Linked DNA regions of Rhinolophus ferrumequinum. The main gene of each other region encodes a partner of the protein of the gene in region 2 in a complex. Links are inferred from orthologs where the notes say so. Each region holds a gene or a part of one and is shown on either strand. Other genes may lie near its edges. The genes, in order: MMP2 and TIMP2.

Region 1 (11,442 bases), on a different chromosome or scaffold from region 2:
GTTTCAGATCCACTCTCACACCTAGAGTCCCTCAGTGTCTCCCAGTGTCACCCAACTGCACTTTCTGCGACGACGGGAATGTTCTTTGTGCTGTTTCAGTCCATCACAACTGGCCCATAGGGCTCCTGAGCACTGGCAATGTGGCTAGTGTGACCGAGAAACTGAATTCTACATTTCATTTGATTGTAACTCACTTAAATGTAAATAGCCCTAGGTGTCTAGGGGCTACCATGCTGGACATGCAGGAAGACTGCTTCTTTCAGGGTTACACGGCCTCCAGGGAAGGCCCAGTGTCATGTCATCTGCCCTCACATCCACATGGACCATCTAAGCCGCTCCAGTGTCTACACCTACTCTCCTCGTTCAGCTGCCCTCGGGACCCTGTGCCTCTCTAATGGCCAGATCACCCCCTCTCCTTACTGAACCCCTGCTGGCCCCAGCTCTCCTACCCCAGCGGCCGAAGTTAATCATTATGTCAGCCTCTCCATCGTGGATACGAGAAAACCGTAGGGGGGTCACATCACTCCAGACTTGAAAGGCACGAGCAAAGGCATCATCCACCGTCTCAGAGTCAAGGTCAGGCGTGTAGCCAATGATCCTGGAGGTAGGAGAAATGCATATGAGTGTGTACGTGTGTGCAAAGGAACATGTGTATACACATGCATGCAAGCATACATGCATGTGTGCAAGTGTGTGTATATGCAACTGTGTGAGTGCATGAATGTGTGCAAGGGTGGGTGTATGTGCACAGGTGTGTGGGTGTGTGCACAAGCAAGAGGGGTGCATGCGTTGGAGTGTGCACAAGTGTGTGCCTGTGAGTGTCCATGCTTGTGCAGGTATACGGCGTGTGCTGAGCAGAGCTCACGGGGAGGACAGCCTGCCCAGAACGGCTTGAGGTTCCGTGCAGTCCTAGATGAGCCAACACCTTCAGGCCCTGTCTCAGGACTCCCATCCCTTACTTCTGGCTGCGGGGACACACAGGGACATGAATAGTGCATATGGGACACAGGGCAGAGACCTCATCCTTGGAATCCAGCATGAGCTGTACAGAACAGAGCTCTCAGCTCAATCAACAGCCAATTATAGCCACTCTATACTGTAACATAAAACCAATTAGCAACCAATCATCCAGCTCCCTCCACCGACACCAACGACCCCATCTAGTAACAATGGTGGCTAGCAGGTATTACACTGTTACTAGATGCTGGACACTGTGAAAGCCCTTTAGAAATGTGACCTAGCTTCGTTCCCAACCAACCTATGAGGAAGGTTTTGTTTCCCATCTTGTAGATTGGAAAGCCAAGGCTCAAGGCACTGAAAAATAAGTAGCCCAATGCCCCACACCTAGTAAGTATGAGATTCTAGTTCAGGTCTGTCTGACTCCGGTTCCTAAGAACTTTGTATGCAAACTTCTTAAGATGCTAAGTCCTCCTGAGTCACCTCCTGGCTGCCCGGAGTGGGGAGAGGCCCAAGGAAACCCCGTGTCCCGTAGCCCAGAGGCCCTGCTGCCCCAGCCCTGCCTCGGCACCTGTACGTGATCTGGTTCTTGTCCCACTTGGGCTTGCGGGGGAAGAAGTTGTAGTTGGCCACGTCGGGGTTCCCGCAGCGTGGCTTCCGCATGGTCTCGATGGTTCGCTGGTCAAGGGCACCTGTCTGAGGTAGTCCAAAGAACTTCTGCATCTTCTTCAGTGTGTCCTTCAGCACAAACAGGTTGCACCTCTCCTTGGGGCAGCCATAGAAGGTATTCAGGTATTGCTGGAAGAAATGAGCAACAGAGGCAAGCAGCCACATTAGGATGGCATAGTACTGACCAAAGCCCTACAATAACTAGTCCCCCGTCCAGCCCCATAGCTCAGAGAGGACATAATCCAGGGGCCCCAGGGCACTAGGTGGAGTCCTGGGTTCCCAAACCAGCTCTGACACCCACTAGCTGAGAGACTTAACAGCCACAGAGAGCATGGCTACCATGCACTGGGTGCTTACTATATGCCTAGGCACTGAAGCTAGCACGTAACTGTAATGCTCACAGTAACTCTATAATGTACTTATTATTACTCTCCCCATCATACAGAGGAAGAAACTAAAGTACAGAGAGGTTAAGAAACTAGCCTAAGATCACACAGCTCACAAATGGCAGAGCTGGATTTGGACCCCAGCAATCTGGCTCCAGCGCCATGATCAGAACTGTAACGCTCCACCACCCTTCTTTACCTCCATCACCTCTTTTAATCCACCTAACTGCTGATGACATAAGGATTATTTTTCTCACTTTTCTTATAGAGAGATTCAGGGGCTATGTGCATGGGCTCCAGCCGCAGAGACCTGGGTTCATATCCTGGAATGATCATTTTCAAAAAGAAAATAGTCCTGTCCTTCAGGGGCTGTGCAGTGGCTCTGCCAAAACCAAGGCCAAAACCAAACAGGCCCGTACAAAGAGTCAGGAACCAAGCAGCTCATTTATTTGTTCAACAAATACTTTTTGGTATGTCCCATGTTCTAGGCCTGTTGCTAGTGTTGGGATAAACTGGTGAACACAACAGATGTTTCTAGTCTGTAGGGCTCAAACCCCAATGGGAGAAGGCTGATGGACCAGAAATAAATGCAAAATTAAATATGTGCTGGGTACTGCATTAGAAAGGTGAAAGGAGTCAGGAGACCCTTTTACAGGGGCCATAACCTTGTTTGGGGGGATAGTTAGAAAAGGGAAGATACAGGGTATAAGAATAATAATAATAACAATAATGACTAATACTGATGGAGGGCTTACCATGTGCTACTTCAAAGTGTCCAAGAGGTATCATTATCATCCTCCCTTTGCACAAGAAGCTGAGACTGAGAGGTGGTCATTTGCCCACACTTACTAGGCCAGTTGGTGAGTGCACTCCGGCGTTTGAAGCCCACTTCTCAAACCTCCCACTGCATGGCCTATAGGCGACATAGACTTGCACACGCTGTGGAAGGTGTGGGGGCCCAGGTAGCTTTGTCAATGCTCCAAAATTCTACCCTCACCCCCAACCAAGAGCCACATCACAATGCCAGCCAGCTCCAGACCTGTGAGAAAAGTAGCCCCCTAAAAATGTAAAGTCTCCCAACCCATTTATGCAGAAGGGACAGAGGCTTAGATGCAGGAAAAGGGGGGGTCACATCCTGAGAAGGGGTGCCCAGGGTGACCTGGGGCATAAAAGTGCTGTCTTGGGCAGGTTGGGGATCAGGCTGATGGAGCATAGGGGATTTCTAGGGAGTTAAAGCAATAAGGGGCAGATGTCTTGTGGGCTAGAAGGAACATTTTGAGGGGTCTCCTGCTTGAGGCACTGACAGGGTGAGGGGTAGTGCCCTTCCGCTGCCCCCCGAATCCCGCTGAGGCCTGGGTGCGCCTGGAGCCAGGCGTGCTCCCTCTCAGAACAACATCTGAGCCGCAGCTCGGAGCCCCGCCAGGAGGGAGGGCTGGCTGGCCACTCTCCCACCCGCGGGTTCCACCGCCCCCGCCCCACGCGCCAGGCCTCCTGCGCCTGCCCCTCTCTCCATCCCCGCCCCGCTGGCCACCTCTCTCCTGCCCTCCAACCTCTTTGCAGAAGTTCGAGGAAACTTTCTGAGGTCCAACCCTTGACTCTCCAGGCCAACTTGTCCACTGAGCCAGGCAAAAAAGATGCGCTCTCCTTTTCCTTCCTGCCCTGAATATTTGCCCAAAGGTTCCCTCACGCAGGTCTGTCCAAGGCCCCTGTCCAGATGTGTGCCAAAGGTTACCAGATGTTTGCCAAGTCCTGCTTGGCCTGGAACTCGAACTTAACGTGTGCAAGAGTTTATCCAAATTGTGCGTCAAAGAATCCCCTTCCCAAAGTGCTGCAGGGGGTTAAAAAGATCCTCCACCGTTTACAAAAGGGACCCCTTTAGGCCTTTTGCCAAAGGCCTACCAAGAGGCTAGCCAAGGGCCTGGTTAGCCAACCCTACAGATGTGTCCAAAAGTTGTTTACAAAGCCAGCCCCCTTGCCAAATCCCCCAGATACTATACAACGTCCCCGTTATTTACAAAAGGGGCCTTTTCCAGCTGTTTGCCAAAGCACCTCCTTCCCTTCCCTGAGTGTTTCTCTCCTCCCTGCTGTGTCCTGAAAGTTGCCAAGTGGTTTATCAAAGACCTTCTCCACTTACCAAAGATCCCCTATGGTTTCCAAAACAGATCCCTCCTCCAGCAGGCCGACTTTACCCCCACCCCCACCCCCACCGAGCTGTTTACTGAAGCCCCTCCCCCATGTTGTCTGTCCCCAGAGGTAGGGAGGAGGTATGGCTGGGAGACCCCCACCCTCCGCCTCCTAGTTTTTATAAACTTGGCTCGCTGAGGCCCGCGGAGCAACTCACCACAGCCAACTCTTTGTCCGTTTTGGGGGCGACATCTCCGGGGAACTTGATGATGGGAGATGGCCGGGTGGCGGCCCGGCCCAACAGGCAGCCCAGGACGCAAAGCGCCCGTAGGGGGCCGGCAAGCGCGCCCCGGGCCACTCGCGCATCGGTCATTGCTCTCCCGGGCCCACACGTCGCCCAGGGGTCACTGGCTCGGCGCGTGTGGCTGAGTCGCCTCCTGGCTGGCGCTTGCTCCGCCGCGCAGCGCTGCGCTCCAAGGGACCACTAGACTCGGCGGCCTCTGCTTTGCCCGCTCAGCCGCGCATGGTCCGGCCCCCGCTCCCCGGCCCGTGCCACCACCGCCTGTGCTTGCCGGTCCCGGAGTCCCTTTGTATGTTTAAAGCCCCAGATGCGCAGCCTCCAGCCGCTGCCGGAGGAAGTCTGGATGCAGCGGAAACAAGGGAGGGCAGCCGCCAGATGTGGCCGGCTGGGCTGGGAGGGCGCTGGCAATGTAGGGAGGTGGGGGGGGGCGGGGGGCGCTCAGGCCCGCCTCTCTCCGCACCACTCCCCCACTCGCCCTCCTCTTTTATCCTCCTTGCCTTTCTCCGCCTCTTTTCCCTGCCGCCTGCTGCTCCAGGCCTCTGCGTGCAGCAGCAGGGCGCGACCTTTTTACCCCTACACACCAATCCGGGCACAAAGCCTAAGAGACCCCCTGCGGGGAAACATCTGCCACGACCACTGTAGACTCACGATATTGGAGAACGGCGGTTCTTGGAAGGACGCCCGGGGGGCAAGAATGTCAGCACTTCCAGGGACACGGGTCAGAGATGGAAAGGAAGGGTCAGAAGCAGACGTCAGCTACGTGATGGAGAAAGATTGTAGATGTTTAGAGATGAAGATAGAGAGAGATGGACAAAATGGAAAGCGACAGATGGAAACAGATAAACTGGAGTGTCCCACTCTCCTTCCTCCCTTCTTTCCTTCCTCCCTTCCTGCCTTTCTTCTTTGCCTCTTTTCTTTCTTCCTTCTGCAAATATTTAAGCATTTACTGGGCCTCAGGCATAATGCTAGGTGCTGTTAGGTTGGTGCACAAGTCTTTGCAGTTATTGCAATTATTTTTAACCTTTTAAACCGCAATGACTTTTGCACCAACCTAATAGATATACACTTGGAAACACAGAAGTCCTGCTACCTGTCTCTCAGGAATGTCCCCTCCCTCTCTCAGGAAGAATAATTAAGTGCTAAGCTGTGATGGGGGATCTCCAGCAGGTCCTGGCAACACCTTACCTCAGCCTCTAAACTAGTATAGATGGTCAGGGAAGGCTTCCTGGAAGAAGTGACTTCTGAGCTGAGACCTGAAGAGCTACAAAACAAAGGTTTGGGTTGGGAGCGGTGAAAGGGATGTTTCAGGCACAGTCTGGGGCAACACATACAAAGGTCCAGAGATGAAACACAGCAGGATGCACTGGAGAAGGGAGTTCCCTTTATCTGAGAAAGGTAGGGGGCAGGGTGATGAGATGGGCCTGGCAGTCAGCAGGGTCCAATTTGAGGAAGAAAATCATGGGTTGAAAGGGTCAGCAACAATCTGCCTGTGAGGGCTTTGGGGGTCGTGGTGATGAACCTGGCCTTTATCTTAATATCAGTAAAAGCCGTCTGCAGCTTGGATCTCAGTGGGCTTAAAACAAAATACAGGCTTGCCTGGCAGGCATGTTCTCCTGTCCTACAAGAGGTCAGAGTGAAAGGAGCCACTTGGGAGGGACTTTGTCCTGCAAGAGGGAGGCTGGCCTATCAGCCTGATCTAGGGAGAAGCCTTGGCTGTTTTGGGGAGGGTGAGTCTGAGGTCAGTGGGGAGGGGGTTGCCTCCTGTCTGGGCCCCACTTGGCCCAAGTCCATGGCCTGTGGAGAGTCAGAGAGCCAAGTTGGAGAGGCCAGAGCTGGGAGTGAAAATGGAAAAAGTTGTCTCACTAAAGCAGGGCTTGCAAACTCGTGGCCTGTGGGCTGAATCCAGTCGGAACAGCATTTTGAAACTTGGGAAACTTGATGTCAAAATCTGACTTTTTGCTATCCTTTTAAAAATTCCCAAAGCTCTGGCAATCCGGTTTCCACCTGGCAACAATTAGCTGAAGCTAAATAGTTGCTATTCCTTTTAGATGAGGCATGCATTTTGGTTTGCCACAGTCCCCACCATTCTCTATTGCCTTGCATGTGACTCACTCAGCTTAGTTTTGCTCATTGACATCACTTGCCCCTGTGGATGAAAAAGGGGCCACGCACTAAACTTGACAAGCTCAGCGGAGGCTTGCACGGCGGGCCCGACAAACTCAGAGACCAAAGTAACCACATAGGATGATCAACATAAAAATTTCTAACTGAAAGCAAGTCATGGCAGGTAGTCAGATCCTAGGCCTGTAGCTTCCTTGACAAAGGTCAGTCTTTGCCATAAGTGAGCCTGTCTGTTGGTCTTTTTGCCTGTAAGATAACATACTTTTGAAATGTCAGCATAATCTCTGCCAGACCCCTCACGGCACAACTGCATGCACCATCTAGAGACCACAGCACCCCTCATCATCATCTTATTCCCCGAATACCATCTCTACATGCCCCAAATGTTAATTATTAACTATCCTGCATCCACTGATGTAAGAGAAGTGTGTGTCTCTCTCCGTTTCACTTTTTATCCAATCCCAGCGATTTCGCTGCTTTGCTTTCTCCCGCCTTGTTAATCTACCACTAACGGATTTCACATAACCCTCCTTATGTCCTCTCCCTTGATTCTAATGTGTAAAAGAAGCTGCAAAACTGCCATTCTCTGGAGCATTTTCTCAGTCTGTTGAGATTTTGCTTCCCAGCAATTGTCATCAGTTTGGCTCAAATAAACTCTTATAAAACTTTTTTTTAGGCTGGGTGTTCTTTCATTGACATTTACTTGGTGCAGCTGGCAGGATTCCAAAGAAGCCCACCCAGGACTACCCTGTGGACCCTGACCCGGTGCTCGGTACCAGCAGGGGCCCACTGTGCCCTATGGGCTCCCCACTTTGCCTTAGGTGACCTTGGGTGAGTTTTTCTTGGAATTCTGAACCTCCCTATTTTAAGGTAGTTTTTTTAAGGCCCTGACTTTGAGCTGATCTTAGGGGGGAATAAATCCTCAAGGTGGCACTAAAGGTTAAGGGTTGAAATAACCCAGGCTAAGGACAAGGGTTGAGATAACTCAGGGACCAGAGAAAAAGAAATGGGTGGCTGTTTCTTTTCTTTTTCTTTTTTTTTAAGATTTTATTGGGGAAGGGTAACAGGACTTTATCGGGGAACAGTGTGTATTTTTCCAGGATTTTTTCCAAGTTGTTGTTCTTTCAGTTTTAGTTGTGGAGGGTGCAGCTCAGCTCCAGGTCCAGTTGCCGTTGCTAGTTGTAGGGGGTGCAGCCCACCATCCCTTGAGGGAGTCGAACCAGCAACCTTGTGGTTGAGAGCCCACTAGCCCATGTGGGAATCAAACCTGCAGCCTTCGGAGTTAGGAGCACGAAGCTCCAACTGCCTGAGCCACCGGGTGGCTGGTTTTTAATTTCGGCTTTCCAACGGAAATTACTTACTGTGAGTCTGAACAAAACCTTTTGCTGGATAAATGAGAGTCTGAACTTGTTCGGCTCCAAAGATAAGGGGCACTTACTCCCTTCAGCTCAAATTTCGGGTACGAGGTGACTAAGAAACTATGTGGAGGTGTTTGAGGGTAGTCCTCAAAATGAGCAGGGCCCCATAGGAAATTCCAACACCCCTGCAATTAAACAATTGGCTGCCCTGGGACACGCATATAAAAGCTTGTTACCTAGCGCGCTCTGGGTCCTCACAGTTTTATTAGATAGTATGGAAAGAAGCTGAGACACATAGGAAGTTTGGAGTGACTCGGGAGGTGACAGCACCTTGGAGCTCATAAGCAGTCCACTTCAGCCCACTACCCAAGAGCCCTAGAAATGTGTTCAGGCTTTGCAGATCTCAGAAGAAAACTAAAATGAACTTGGGAAATTTTGCCTCCCAGGACAACAAGCCCCCAGCCTCCAGCCCCATTAATATTCTTGTAGATGTACAATTCATAAAGAAACTCTACTTGCAAGTACTTACAGAAAAAAGATTTAACTAGAAGTGATATCAACTTAAGATGACCGAAATGGAGTTATTTTTACACCTAAATTCTTATTCTTATTATTTTTTTGCATGCACCATAGGAGAAAAAAGCCATCTCTAAAATCAAAAAGAATGAATGGGAGGCTTACCTCAATTGGCAAATAGAAGCCTCTGAAACAGAGCACAGAGATACTATCTCCAAGAAGTTAATAAGGAAATTTTAGAGACTGTCTCTTAAGTAAGGAAAGTTTCTGACACTGCTCAGTGCCAACAGCCCCACTTTTCTCTCTTCTCCAACTGCTCCGCTGTAGCTCTTTACTTCGTTGTCTGGACTTTCTTTTCCCCTCCCCCTTCTCTCTCTCTCCTCCACCTCTTTCACCAGAGCTCTCTATTGACCTAGGGGACACTCAGACTAGAAAACCAGACCACGGTAGACTAGGGGAAAAAAACAAAATCCAACAGAAATTCTGGCAGCTCCCTTTGGAGAAACGCCAGGCAAAGGAAAACCAGTGATTGTACACATTCCTTGACTAGAACAGAATTAAGGACTCTACCTTAAAATTTCCCTCACTCTCTGGGACCATATGAGTTTGCAAAGGAATTTGATTTAACTGTTAGAACATATGATCCTGGCTATTCTGACCTTTTCCAGTTAATATACCTACTGGTTTCTGAGAGGAAAGCAACAGATTGGGTAAATAAGGTTCACTGGGAAGCCCCTATAGAGGACTTGTTAAAACAGAGACAGACCAAGAAAAATGCAGAGAATTAGCCCTGTGGCTTTACCAAGCCATATCTGAGATGTTTTGCCCCAGAAAATGGACAGGACTAAGATCCAGCAATGTAAAAGAGAGCCTGATGAAACAGGGCTTGATTTCCTTGAACTTTACAAAGAAACGTTCAAACAATACACAGGTCTGTCTCCAGACAGTTTAAGGATCATCAAAATGATCCCTTAATATAATAAATTCGGCCTTTTTGGAAGGACAAGATGAAGAGCTGGAACTCTGATTAAACAGCATAAATTAAACTGGCTGACCACGTGTACTAATGAATTGGTAATTCTGGCTGATCAACTATCTAAAACAATTCAAAAGGTACAAAAATACAAAGCTGCCAAAATCATGAACTTACAGCTCCAGCAATTAAGCAATCAGGTCAGACCTCCCCGGAGGTCTCTTAGATAAGGGGAGAGAGGAATCTGTTCTTATCTTAAAAAGTCAGGTTGCCTTAAGAAGGACTGCAGAAAACTGAAATGGGATCTAGAAGAAGAAAAGAAACAGAAGCAAGCATTGGGCTGCTCCAAGGACTATGAGAGGGCATTTCCCCTTCTCCTTACAAATACTTTTGAAATTACCATAAAAAGAGAATGTAGGTAAAGAGAACTGTAGGTACGGAGCTACTTTATCTATTCTTAACACTACCCAACTGAGTTGTCCTAGCCCTTGGACTAAGCGTCTTTACAAATGGTAGGGACATCTGATCAACCAATGTCTGTTTTTAAATCAGAACCTGTTCCCTTCCAACTTGGGAATGTTATGTGTAACATACATATATTTTTTACTAGTCAAATCTGTCCCAATTCACCTGATATGGTGAGACTTTCTTGAAACCGATGACACCCACATATCCTTTTCCCAAAAGGATGAAAAGTATTTAGAACTAAATGAATCAGATACTGAACCAACTGAGAAAATAATGACTTTAAAGGAAACTGCACAAGAGAAAACTAGTCTTGAGACTGACTGAACGTTTGTTACAGGACGTTCCAATGCAATTCTGGGCCTTTTCCGGTACAGATATTGGCAAGACTAAGCCACTCCTATTAAAATAACTATTGACAGTACTTTGCCTCTATCTAATATTCACCAATATCCTTTAAGACCTAATGAACTGGCTGGAATTAAGCCCATTCTACAAGATACATAAAAAGGGGGCTTATAACTCCATGCATGGGCCCCTGTAATTCTCCTAACCTTCCAGTAAAGAAACCCAATGGGAAAGGATGGAGATTTGCACAGGACATCAGAGCTATAAATAAAGATATCCTGTGGTTCCAAATCCACATACCCTATTATTAGCTATTCCTGTGGATTGCCAATATTTTTCAGTGATGGATTTACCTTTTTCGGCATTCCTGTCAAAAAAAAAAAAAAAAAAAGACCTCTTTGCTTTCACCTGGGAAGATCGGGGCTTTACTTGGACAGTAATGTCCCAGGGGTGTACAGAGAGTCCCACCTATTTCTCTCAAATACTAAATGCTGACTTGAATGATACTGAATTTCCCAGAAATTCCACTCTAATCCAGTATGTGGATGATTTACTTTATGTTCTGGGATATAGTAGATTCCCAGGAGGATACAATCTATCTACCTATTACAAGAGCTACTAGCTATAAAGGGACATAGGGCCTCAAAGGACAAGCTTTGACTCTGTTTATCCCAAGTAAAATACCTTGGTCATCTAACATCTAAAGATGAGCTCCTAATGAACCATGAAAGGCTCAGAGGAATAATTTCCTTTCCTTTTCTAAAAGAAACAAAAGCAGCTTAGTGGGTTCCTGGGTCTGACTGGTTACTGTCACAGTTGGATGTTAAATGTTTCGGCAATCGCCCATCCTCTATAAGTCTTATTAAAATCAGTTCAACCTGATCCAATTCAATGGAACCCAGAAGAGAAACAAGCTATAAAGCTCCGAAGGAAAAATTTTCTAAAGCTCCTGCTCTGAGACACTTTACTGATAAACTTTCTTCCTTTTTTACATGAAAGTAAAGGAACAGCTTTTGGAGTTTTAGCTCAAAAACATAGAGTTCATCTTAGATTTATAGGATATTATAGTCAACAATTAGACTCAGTAGCCAAAGGGACTCCTCCCTGCATGACCGCCATCTGTGCTACAGCCACGTTATGCAAACAAACAGAAGAAACAGTTATCAGCTCTCCTTTATGTATGTTCCTCTTTCTGTTAAATCCCCACTGACCTTTCTTTCATCA
Region 2 (10,803 bases):
GACATCTATCTGTTCACTTAAAATTAGGGGCAAGTTAGCTGTCAATCTATATGCTAACTACACGTTACATTCTTTTCTCGCACCCCAGTTGTCTTGAGTACCCTGCTTTGGAGACACCTGCTCGGTGCAAGCTTTGGACGGAGTCAATCATCTGGAGAGTGAGAAATGCCCAGGCCCTCGGCCCCAAGGCTCCAATTCAGGACACTAGTTCAGGCGGCTGCCGTTCGGCAACGCCCCTGGGCAGGTCCTGCTGTCACGGGCAGGTGTACACCCTCACCCTTGATGACTCACCTTAGGTCTCTGGGATGGTCCCCATAAGGCAGAGCGGCAACATTTAGTCCTAACCTCCCTCTTGGTCCCCTGTCCCCAAGCTCTCCACGCAGGCCTGTTCTAGACCTAGAACTCTCTCACCTTTGCCTGGGCAGTGGTCCCTTTGCTCAGCACACCCACACACGCGCCCACACTGCCACCACCAGCAGTGCACTTAAACCATGTCTGGGTACATGTCCCCAGCTCTGTTCTCAGATCTAGGGGTCTTCACACTCCCCTACCTCATTTCCCAATTCTGCTCCTTTCTCTTTCCAGAAGGACCTTCCTAGGCACGGAACCACTTGCCCTTGGACCTTGTGTGTGCGCACGTGTGTGTGCACACGGGGATGGAAGGCAGAGAGGAGTCAGCAGCATTTACACCCACCACACACACTCCTAGTCTGCCGTTTCTGTCTTCTCTTTCTCTCCTTCCATGCTTATTCTTTCTCCTGCTGTTGTTTTCATCCTCCAGGCTGCCGGGGGTCCTCCAAGCACATCTCTTAGCTACTTTGGAGCCCAAAGGACCCATCCCCCCACCCCCATAGGCCCTTGGGCATCATCAGGTCAGTGGCTCTGCATCAGGACTAGGGTGGCTTCGAGCCCCCTCCCCTGTCAGCCTGGGAGTCAACTACACCGGTTCTCCACATGCTCAAATGTCACCAAAGGATTCGAACCACACAGCCCACACATGTGGGAACTGCCTGGCAGCCCAGCCGAGACAGAGATGAGGTAGGTAACCAAGTCTGAAGCTCACGGACCACTGGCCAGGACTGGACTGCAAATTCTGGAGGACGGAACGGGTCCCAGGCTGGTACCACGTCCTCAGGTCAGACAGGGAGGAATGCATGGCATCAGGAGGGCTCCCTCCAGCCACCTGCCACACCCACTGTACAGCCTGTGCCCTGAACACATCTCTTCCAGTCTCCCAACCATGGGAGCTGCCAGCAACTCACATTCCAGCCATTCCCAGGGAGAACATGTCCTTCCAGAGACACTGTCCAAAACCGAGCCTAGGCGCTCCAGTCCCACCATGACCCATCCCCCACCTCCCACCTGAACCCTGTATCTGCAGATCCCAGGAGTGCGTACCACCTTGGCACACCGTTACTTTGTTGTTTGCCTGAAGCACATTGACTCTTACTTGACACCACGCCCTGGCGGGGGTGGGGGACCTGCAGGGCTCCTGCCCACCCTGACCCACACCGCCTGGCACTGGTGTCTAGCGCTCCCCCTGAGGGCAGGGGTAATGCCCGGCTTCTTCGCCCTTACACCGCCTGAGCAGAGCCAGTGCCCCCACAACTGCTTGTTGAAACAGCCTGATATGAAACCCAGCGTGTACGAAATGCGGATCAATTATGCATTTTGGAGAAGTCACCACCCCACCCCGAACCCATGGACCCCAGGCCTGATTGCACTCATCACCTTGCCTCCCTGAGCACACGTCTGGGAACGACAGAGCCATTCCTGAGAGCCTGTGGCGCTTGTTCCAGGGCGGCCACGGTCTGGCCCCCATCAGTGCATGTACAAGGTCGGCTGTTTGCCCTGGCAGCCAGGACGTGGTCTTGGCTGTGAGCCCTTCCCCACCTGGTGCTGGAGACACCATCAGAGGGTTCGCAGTGTCTGGACACGGAAAATCTTAAGAAAGATGGCACTGCGGGCGCCCTTCTGGAACGATGTGGCTTTGGACATCGCTACCCAGGCCGGAGGGAAGATTTTATTCTCTGGGTTCCAGAGACTGGTCCGAGCAGCCCAGAGTGCCAAAGCCAGTATCCAGCCGGGTCACTGGAGCTGTGCAGGCTTGCCGTAGATGGAGAAGGACTCCATTAGACAGAGGGAAGCGGGCCAGCAGCACATCCGTGCGGTGCTCTGAGGCACGAAAGGCTGCCCGCTTACCCTCACTTTCCCCCCCAGGAGCCCAGATCGCCTCTTCCCACCCCCTTCATCCTAAATTTCGTAACCTCATAATGAACTATTTTCACAGACCACAATTCCAATCCCACCGGCTGTAAAAGCTGGGAGACACCTCCCAGAAATCCTTACACAGGCAGACAGAAATCTGCTTCTTAAGCCAACAGCCTTTTGCAGACACCAAGCCATTTAACAACCTGCATCAGGCCAACAATTACAGAAGCCAGCATGCTGCATTAAAGGTCAGCCTTTAGCATCCCCCAACATGCACCAGGCTATCATCCTTTTCCAGAACCCTGGGCCACAGTTCTGATGGCACAAAGTCACCTGTGGGGATTCAAAACTGTAAAAGCAGAGGTCTGAGCCAGACTCTACATCTGCGAAGGGTACTGAGACCTGAGTGATCGTTAAAAGATCCCAGGCAATTCTGCTCTCAGCCCAAGAGGAGGAATGGGGAGGGATTCCCGAACCTGCACCATTAAAGGAGCAGTGACGTGAAAAGGCCATTGCTTTCCTTGCGAGGTTTACTCCAGGCCCTCCAGGGCCAGCCCGGGGATGTCTCAGCTCGGTATTCCCAGCCCACCAAACAGGGAAGGGCTGACTGTGGAACAAGACTGGACAGCCTAGCTCAGATTGCATCCTCCCAAATTCATGGCCACGCAGACCTGTGAATGGAACCTTATTTGGAAACGGGGTCTCTGCACATGTGATCAAGTGAAGATGAGGTCATGCTGGATGTGGGTGGGCCCAAATCCAATGACTGGCGTCCTTATAGGAAGAGGGAGATTTGGACACAGACACAGACCGAGGAAACAGCCATGTGGAGACAGAGCAGAGAGCGGAACGATGCGTCTGCCGGCCAAGGACCGCTGGGGCCACCAGCAGCCGGGAGAGGGGCCCGGATGGATTCTTCCTCAGAGCCTCCAGAAGGAACCAGCCCTGCCCACACCTCGATTTTGGACTGCAGACCTCCTAAACTGTGAGAGAACCAATTCCTGTTGCTTGAAGCCCCCCAGTATGTAGCAGTTTGTTCCAACAGCCCTTGGAGTCTAACACACTGGGTTCTGCCCTGAAACTCTGGCATCTGCAGGCCCCGCCCTCCCAGCCTCGGGCTGCGATGGGATTAAGGCTCCATGATTTTGATGCAATAATTTGGACACAAACAAGGGAGATCCAGGCGGAGGAGAGAGTAACACACAAAGCAAGAAGGAGCCTCCAGGCATAATGAAGCTCCCCAACCCTGACCTTTGCTGCCCATGATCCAAACCCCAGCCCCAGCCCGCCCTGGGCAAGCACTGAGTGGCAGGAGCAGCTGAGAAGTGTGAGGGGGTCCCAAGGCCCAGCCCCTGTCCCCTTGGCTCCTGTGAGCCACGCCGGGGAGTCTCAAGAGCCATGATGCCTTCTGGGCCTCAGCCTTATTTTGCGCCACAACTGGTGGCCAGAAGCATGGCTTCTCTCTCAGCAAAGGGGCCTGGACAGGCCTGGACGTCCAGGGGACACCCCACGGGAAGGTAGATCCTCCCAACGGAGGAACCTCTCCTGCCCCCTCAAATCTTGCTGAGCTTCAAAACCAAATCAGAGAACAGACCTTCCTTCCCCCAGTTAGGGTTTTGTGGAACCTACTCAGCAAGCACACCCCACGCCCAGGTGGCCTGAGCCATGTGATACCACAGGTGGCAGCACCTGAAGGCTGCCCAGGCTAGGCCGCAGAGGCAGCTTAAAGGGCCAGCTGGGGTGTGGAGGAGTCCAGGAGGCACGGCTGACAACGGGGGAACCCAGAAACCCCAGCTTGGAGCCTATGCAGGTGAGTGCAGCCCAGCTGCGACAAAGGAACAGAAAATAAAGCTACTGAGAGGTCAAAGGGCGCTGCAGAGGCCCGCCCACCTGCAGGGCATCTGTCCTTCTGGTGAAACTGAACTTGCCCCAGGACAAGCTGGCTGACCTTCCCCAGAGCTGGTGAAGCCTGCAAGCATCAGACCTGGATGGGAACCTCTGGGGCCCAGCTGGTTCCACCCATTCCTGCTGCCCCTTGAGGACCAGAACAAATAAGTGGGTTTCTCTTCCCTCCCTAGCTCCCACCTCTGGGGGGCAAGAAGTCCTGAGAATAATAGATATTTCCGAGGGGCTCTAAGCAGCCACACAACCCCACCTACCCGCTTCCAGTCACTAAGGTCTCCAGTTTTGGTGTGTCCTGAAAAGTAGTCACCAGCAGCAAGCAGTAAGGACCCTCCTGGGCAGAACACGGAGCAAGGGGCCAGCCCACGGGTTCTGCAGGCCTCTCCCAACGGCCCCTCTGAGCCCTGGAGCCTGCCCGCGGGAGGGAAGCTTTCATCCCGCCCCCCCTTTAATCCGGTGAGCCCCCAAACGGGGCTGGTGGGAGAGGCCCAGCCCCACCCAACCCCAAGCCCAGAGGAGCCCAACTGCCATTTCACCTGTGAAAGTTTCTTCCTGGGGTCCCCAGCCCTCCAGCCCACAGAGGCCAAGACTCCCCCCCCACACACACACACACACGCTGTGTCCCCCATTATCCCCCACCCCCGCGCTGGCATCCCAAGGGCCCTTCGCCTGCCAAAACCCAATCCGTTCCCTGGCTCCCTTTTCTGGGGCTGGAGCTGCAGCGGAATTTCGGTGGAATTTTGAGGTTGAGAAGCATCTCGGCAGAGAGGGAAAGAAAGGGAGAGGAAGGGGGAAAAGAAAGTGCGATTTTGGCGTCAACTTGCAGGATTCGAGAAGGCGCTGAGGGCCAGAAGGCGGGCGGGGCTCCTGCGAACCCTCGGGGGTCCCGCGAGCCCCGCGGGGGAGGTCACCCACCAGGCTTGGGCGGGTCGTCGTTCTTACCTACATCTGCATTGCAAAACGCCTGTTGCGGGTGCACCGGGGAGCAGCTGCAGGCGTCGGCGGGGCGGAGCAGCGTCCCCAGCAGCAGGAGGCCGAGCGCGAGCCACAGGCTGCGGGCCGCGGCGCCCATGGCGGGCGGGGGGCGCGGGCCGGGGGCGCGGGCTCGGGGCTCGGCCGCCGCCGCCTGGGCTCGGGGCGCTCCCCTCTGGGCGGACTCGGTGCGCGGTCTCACTGCGCTCCCGGGCGCTCCCTCCGCACCCGGCACGCACTCGCCCGCACAAACTTTCCCGGGTCTGTGTCGCGGGGGAGGCGCGAGGGCGGGGGCGCGGCTGAAGCGCGGAGAAGAAAGCGGTGGGGGGCGGCGAAGCGAGCGCGTGTGGCGCGGGTCCCAGCTCCTCCACAACCTTCTACGGATGTGTGCGCTGCAAGCTTGCACCGACCTGGCTCTTTATTGAGCTGGGAGGGTGTCGGGCTCCGCCTCCAGTGGCCGACGACCAATGGGGCTCCAGGGGCTCCAGTGGCCCCGCCCCCGCGCCTCCCGCGCCTCCCAGGCCCTACCCCAAACTCGGCTTTTGTTGTGCCCTGGGGGGCCCGCCGCTGCGCACCTGGCTTCCCACCGCCCTAGGCAGCACTCCGCAGCCTCTCAAACCGACAGAGGTTGTAGTGGGGGGCAGGATGCGAGGAGGACAGCGCATCAGGCGGCCCTGACTCAGCACTTGGGACTCGAAGCCCCCCCCCAAGGCACCAGGCAGCCCACCCACCACCCCTACCCCTTCCCCTCCAGCTTGGTATGGGAGGTGTACACTGCCTGATTCCCTTCCACCTTTGGGGGCCCTTAGATTCTAGCCAGAGATTGAGCAAAAGGGGTGTGAGCTTCGGAAGAGGGACCATTCTCTGCGGCCCCCTCCCGTGCCTCCTTGTGGGTCGGTGGCCTCCTGAAACTTACTGAGGATTCATTTTTCAAATGGAGGCCTCAGAATTTTAAGGCCGCTTAGTCAGTTTAGTTGGTAAGGGAGCAGGAGTGGTTACTATGAACAAAACAGGATTTTATATAAACTGGCCATATTTTGACCAGCCCACAAGAGCCAGGGGGCTGGGCCCGGGAGCCCAGGAGGTGGTAGGATTGAATGAAAGCATTTGCTGGGTTCTGCTCACAGTTCCCTCCCTTAGCCCACAAATGTGGGAGCTGTAGAACTCTTCCCAAAACAGTTCTGTGTTCCAGGAAGGGCAGAAGATCTTAGAGGTGTGGACCCGGCACGTGAAGTGTGACCCCGGGGGGATTCTGTCTACCTGTCATTGAGCCTGCCCTGAATCCCTTTGCAGTGGGCGCTCTTACACACAGACCCTCCCTCTTGCCCACAGGATGCTTCGAATCCAGCTGGGGAGATGTAAAGGGAGGAAATTAAAGAATAATTGCCTGCTGAACTGTGTGGTGCTGACTTGAGATGTGAAACTGGAAAATATTTAAAGAGTGGAAAATCATTTCTTTCTACTTATGTGTCCTTTGAAACAGACAACTTGAAGAAAAGTTAAATAGGCAGAGGAGTTATTTTTAGCACCCTGACAAAAACCCAAAGTCACTTTTTTCGGCCTTTGTTCATGTAAAATAGAGTAGTGTTACATGTTCTCTGCTCCACGGCCAAGAGGGGGGCAACAAGACGGGAGAAATTCAGGGAAAGGGCTGCAGCTCTGACCTCACCCCCAAGGAGGGAGGATGGGGTCAGTTTGCCTCAAACCCAGGCAAGAGAGAGAAGCAGGTGGGAGGAGCCCGGGGCGCACCTTGTCTCCCAACCGGCCTCCTCTACTTTACTGTTGGCAGTGGGCGAACAGAGGAGCCACACAGGAGACACCGCTCCCTGCAGTGTGCATCTGACTACAGCCTGCAGGACCTCGGCTTGTTACGTGTGGCTCCCAGCAGAGCAGAACTCAGGATAGACAGGAGGGAGCATTGCCTGCTAGGCCAGCTGGGGAGGGGCTGGCTTCTAGCACCCTCAGACCACACCCCTGGGGCCACCACTTCTGACCAGGTACACTCACCTGCCTCCCCCCAAAGAGACTTTCCCAATTTAGAGCCCAGCAGAACCCCGCGGAGCTGTCAGCCTTCCCGCCCAGGTCTGAGCACACCCAGCAAATACATCCTGGGCTTGGCTTGGCAGAGTAAATGTTGTCCAGGGCCAGGAGGAAGCGCCGAGGCCTCCTCCCTCCCACCCCACTCAGGTAAAAAGAGTCAGGATGACCTCTCAGGCCTGGGCAAGAGGTGACCTCCATCCAGTGAGTCTGGACAAGAGTTGGAAGCATGTCTTCCTGGTGGACTCATCTTCCGGTTTGCAGGAGATCCATTTCCTCCCATGTCCGGAGTGTTCTCTCCCTAGAGAGAGCTGGTGCTGAGCTGAGCCCCCACACTTCTTCCAGCAGGTTCTGGAAAGCCAGATGCTCTACGGGGTGTGGGCATCAAAATAGGCCCCCCGTACGCAGGAAGCTGGACCCGAAAGGGTGGAAATGTCTTGGGCAGGTCTGGGGGCAGCAGGCAGAGGGTGGCTGTAGGGGGAGGTGGTGGGGGTGTCTCTTGCCTGGCTGTCTGGAGGTTTCTGTGGTTTGTGATGCGTCTCCTCAGAAAGGAACGGACAGCTGACTTCAGGGTCACGATGGCCCCCTCTGTCAACTCTGGGCAACAGGAGGCAAGTGGCATCTCCCAGCCCAGATATCTGTCCCCAACATTCCCTGGTGGGCTGTTTGCCATAGGACGTCCTGAAGATGACAAGGAGTCAAGAATGGCTGGGCCACCTACAGCATAAAGATGGGCAACAGTTCCCTGCACACTCCACATAAGCCTTTGTGGTCAGCGGTGGACGTTCTGAAGCATGTTCCTATTTTTGTTTCATTTCATCAATTTCATCATTAATGCTCTGCAGCCAGGGCCAGCTTCCAAGTCCCCGGCCCTGCTGACCTTGGGCTACAGCATTGGGGGGGGGGGCACCCTGGGCTCTGTGGGGTATTGAGCAACATCCCTGGCCTCCACCCTCTAAATGCTGATAGCACCCCATCCCAAGTTGTGACAGCCCAACATGTCCAGACATTACCCAGTGTTTCCTGGGGGGTGGGTGGGGGAGGGAGCATAACCACCCCAGCTGACAAGCCCTCACTTAGGGAAACTAATAAAAATCTTGGCTCTTTAGAAAAGCAAAATGCAAAGTTCCATCGCCTGTGTCAAGGTCGAGCAGAGTAATGCCCATAGCAGCAAACCCACGTCAGTGTGTGTTCCGGGTGCACCACCCGTCCACACTGGTTCTCAGGGGAGGGAGGGAAGCAAGGGATAGTGAAAAGGTTGTCCTTTAAAGGCGCCCATGAGTAAATAGCATGGATAATGTTTCATTCATGTGAAATGAAACATATGCATGGATATAGACAGGTGTAGAAAAAGGTGTTTGCAAAAAGTGAGAGGAGTGGCTCTGGGTGGCGGGAACTTAGGTGACAGGACAGATGTCACATCCTCCTCCTTGTGCAGGAAAAACAACTTCCAGAGGAGGACCCTAAAAAGGACCGCTCCAAGAGCAGGAATACGGGTTTCTCTGTGCTGTCTGTCTGTGGAACACCAAAGCCTGCCTGGCTGCAGCTCAAGGGCACATGGGTCTGGGGGGGCACGTCTCCCAGCACCGAAACTGTACTGGCCCAAGGCCTTTACTCTCAAACGACCCCACTCGTTCACCAACACTGCTCTTGGCTCACGCCTCCCACTGGGGGTTCTTTTGCTGCATCCATGGCTGCATTTCTTGTCATCCTCTAGGGCATCTTAAAGAAAGTGGGGCTTGGCCTCTCTCTGCCTGTACACCTGCCACCTGCCCCCTTTCCTCTCCTCCCAGGCAGGCACCCTTTGGGGCAAAGGCAGCCTTGAGCCAGGGCCTCCACCTTGCAAACCTGTCTGGATATCAACTCCTGCTCCCCAATACACGGAACTCAAGCCTTCAGGGCTGGGGCTGCATGGTCCAGTCTAGAGTGACCCCAAAAAGAAGGGAGGGAGGGAGGCTGTCAACAGGAAGCCCAAGAAGTCATGGACTTGAAGAGACAGGCGCATCGAAAACATCTGGGAGCAGACAGCCCGGACTGAAGGCACCTGAACACCTCCTCCAGGCAGGCGCCCTGTTGCAGCAGCGGTATCAGCCCCAGGCAGGGAAGCCTTGGCCAACCTTGTTCTGGGGGCCTCTGGGATGGCACTGCCTCGCCTCCCTGCAGATGCGTTTTGCCTCCCCCAACTCAGAAGGTGCTGTCCTGCACGCCTTCCTTCCAGGATTGAGGGAGGGTCCACCATTCCCAGAAGGGCACACACGGAGCTCTGCCTTCCTCTGCCACCTCCCACAGCCCCACCTGTGTGCCTCCTGCAGCTCCTGCACTGGGCCTCCTCAGACCCTCCTTCAGACGTCGTCGTCGGGAAAACAAAGGAGTAAGAGAAATGTAAGCAGTCGCTCCTTTCAGGCCTGCTGCTGTGCGTTTTCTCATGCCCAGGGCATTTCCTCTTGGCCCTGGGCATGTGGTCATGTGCTTCCTGTCATGGGCGGGTTAGGGAGCAGGGCCAGGGAGCAGAGATGGGAACCCAGCGCCCGTCCATCTCCAGCTTCCAGGAAGCAGCCTCAGCTGGGTTCTGGGGACCAAGGGCTGTCCAGGAGCAAGGGGTGGGACACCTGGGGAAGGGCAGCCCAGCTCGGCAGGGGTTTGTTGAGGCTGAGTTTTCATAGTTTCAGGTTCCCCTCCCTGGAAGCCCAGAGGCGGGAGGCTCAGGTTTCCCGCCTGCCCGCCATTCTTCCCTTCCTTTGGTGTCGGGAGTGACGGGCCCATGGCCATGATGTCACCGCCTAATCCAAACAGAAGAGGGCTGGTTTGGCGGCGTTGGCGGAGGTCCCATGCTGAGTGCAGCAGTACATTTCATGTCAAGGCTATGATTAGGGCTGTGCCCAAGAATTCCCTCTCCCTTTCTCTCTCCTTCCCTCTCCCCAACACCGTTTTCTTTCTCTGTTCCTGCCTTGTCTTCTTTCCCCTGCTGCTGTCTCCCAGGCTCTCTCTTCTTTGGGGGTGCTTCACGTTCCCGGTGAGGCCAGCCCTGCAGTCAGCAGCACCAAGCTCTTTCCATCCCCCGCCCAGGTTCTTGTCACCTTCCAATGCCAGCCCAGCTCTGTGACCAGCTTTGGAGCATAAGGAATAATAGGTGCCGGCTCCCTGGCGTCATCCTGTGGAGTGTGTACAGGGTGAGGGGGAGGGGACAGAATTCCTAAGGCTTCACTCAGCCCTGAGCTGAAAGGCCAGACAACAGAAAGTGCAGGGTTTGGGGGGGCTCTGTCACCAGCAGAGAGACCAGAGGCCATGGGCCATGAGAAAGGCGAGGGAAGCCCGGGTCCTCAGAAAGTGACTCACGGGTCCTGACCGCCATTTCAAGCTGGTGTCTGGAGTTTGGGTCTGGCTCGCTCGCTGACTCCGATTCTGGCACTCCCGCCCTCTCCTCAGCTTTGAGACGGCCGCCCAGCTCCACAGGCCGGAGGCAGAGGCTCGCTGTCTGGTACCCGCGTCTCCCTGGACCTGCCCGGCCCCGGGAGAAGTGGGATGCTGCGAGCATTCATAGCCCACTCTGCTGCTTCTCCTCTTCCTGCTTGTCCCTGGTTCAGTTCTGATGCTCGGGGGCCCGGGAACAGGGCTGACGGCTGGCCCTTGTTCTCCACGTCCTGCTTGGCGGCCCCTCAGAGGTGTCGCCTGGAGACCCCA

The links.
Region 1: the proteins of TIMP2 (region 2) and MMP2 are in contact, whole or in part, in a crystal structure (PDB 1GXD), measured with the Homo sapiens proteins. The link is inferred for Rhinolophus ferrumequinum from reciprocal best matches to the Homo sapiens genes TIMP2 and MMP2. Residues at the interface, in NP_003246.1 of Homo sapiens: Ile162, Pro163, Cys164, Tyr165, Ile166, Pro169, Leu173, Met175, Val178, Thr179, Phe191, Arg196, Asp198, Ser200, Cys201, Ala202, Trp203, Tyr204, Arg205, Ala208, Lys211, Gln212, Glu213, Phe214, Leu215, Asp216, Glu218; in NP_004521.1 of Homo sapiens: Trp574, Lys576, Asn577, Lys579, Tyr581, Phe588, Arg590, Lys595, Asp599, Phe602, Lys604, Ile606, Ala607, Asp608, Ala609, Trp610, Asn611, Ala612, Asp615, Tyr636, Leu638, Leu645, Lys646, Ser647, Val648, Lys649, Phe650, Gly651, Ser652.

What each region holds. Positions count from the first base shown.
Region 1 is NC_046298.1:8,771,938-8,783,379, reverse strand, and holds the start of MMP2 (72 kDa type IV collagenase), read right to left. Parts: upstream 4,845-11,442; 5' UTR 4,510-4,844; coding exon 4,354-4,509; intron 1,756-4,353; coding exon 1,529-1,755; intron 599-1,528; coding exon 450-598; intron 1-449.
Region 2 is NC_046304.1:52,687,390-52,698,192, forward strand, and holds the start of TIMP2 (metalloproteinase inhibitor 2), read right to left. Parts: upstream 5,489-10,803; 5' UTR 5,186-5,488; coding exon 5,056-5,185; intron 1-5,055. UniProt on the Homo sapiens protein: Complexes with metalloproteinases (such as collagenases) and irreversibly inactivates them by binding to their catalytic zinc cofactor. Known to act on MMP-1, MMP-2, MMP-3, MMP-7, MMP-8, MMP-9, MMP-10, MMP-13, MMP-14, MMP-15, MMP-16 and MMP-19.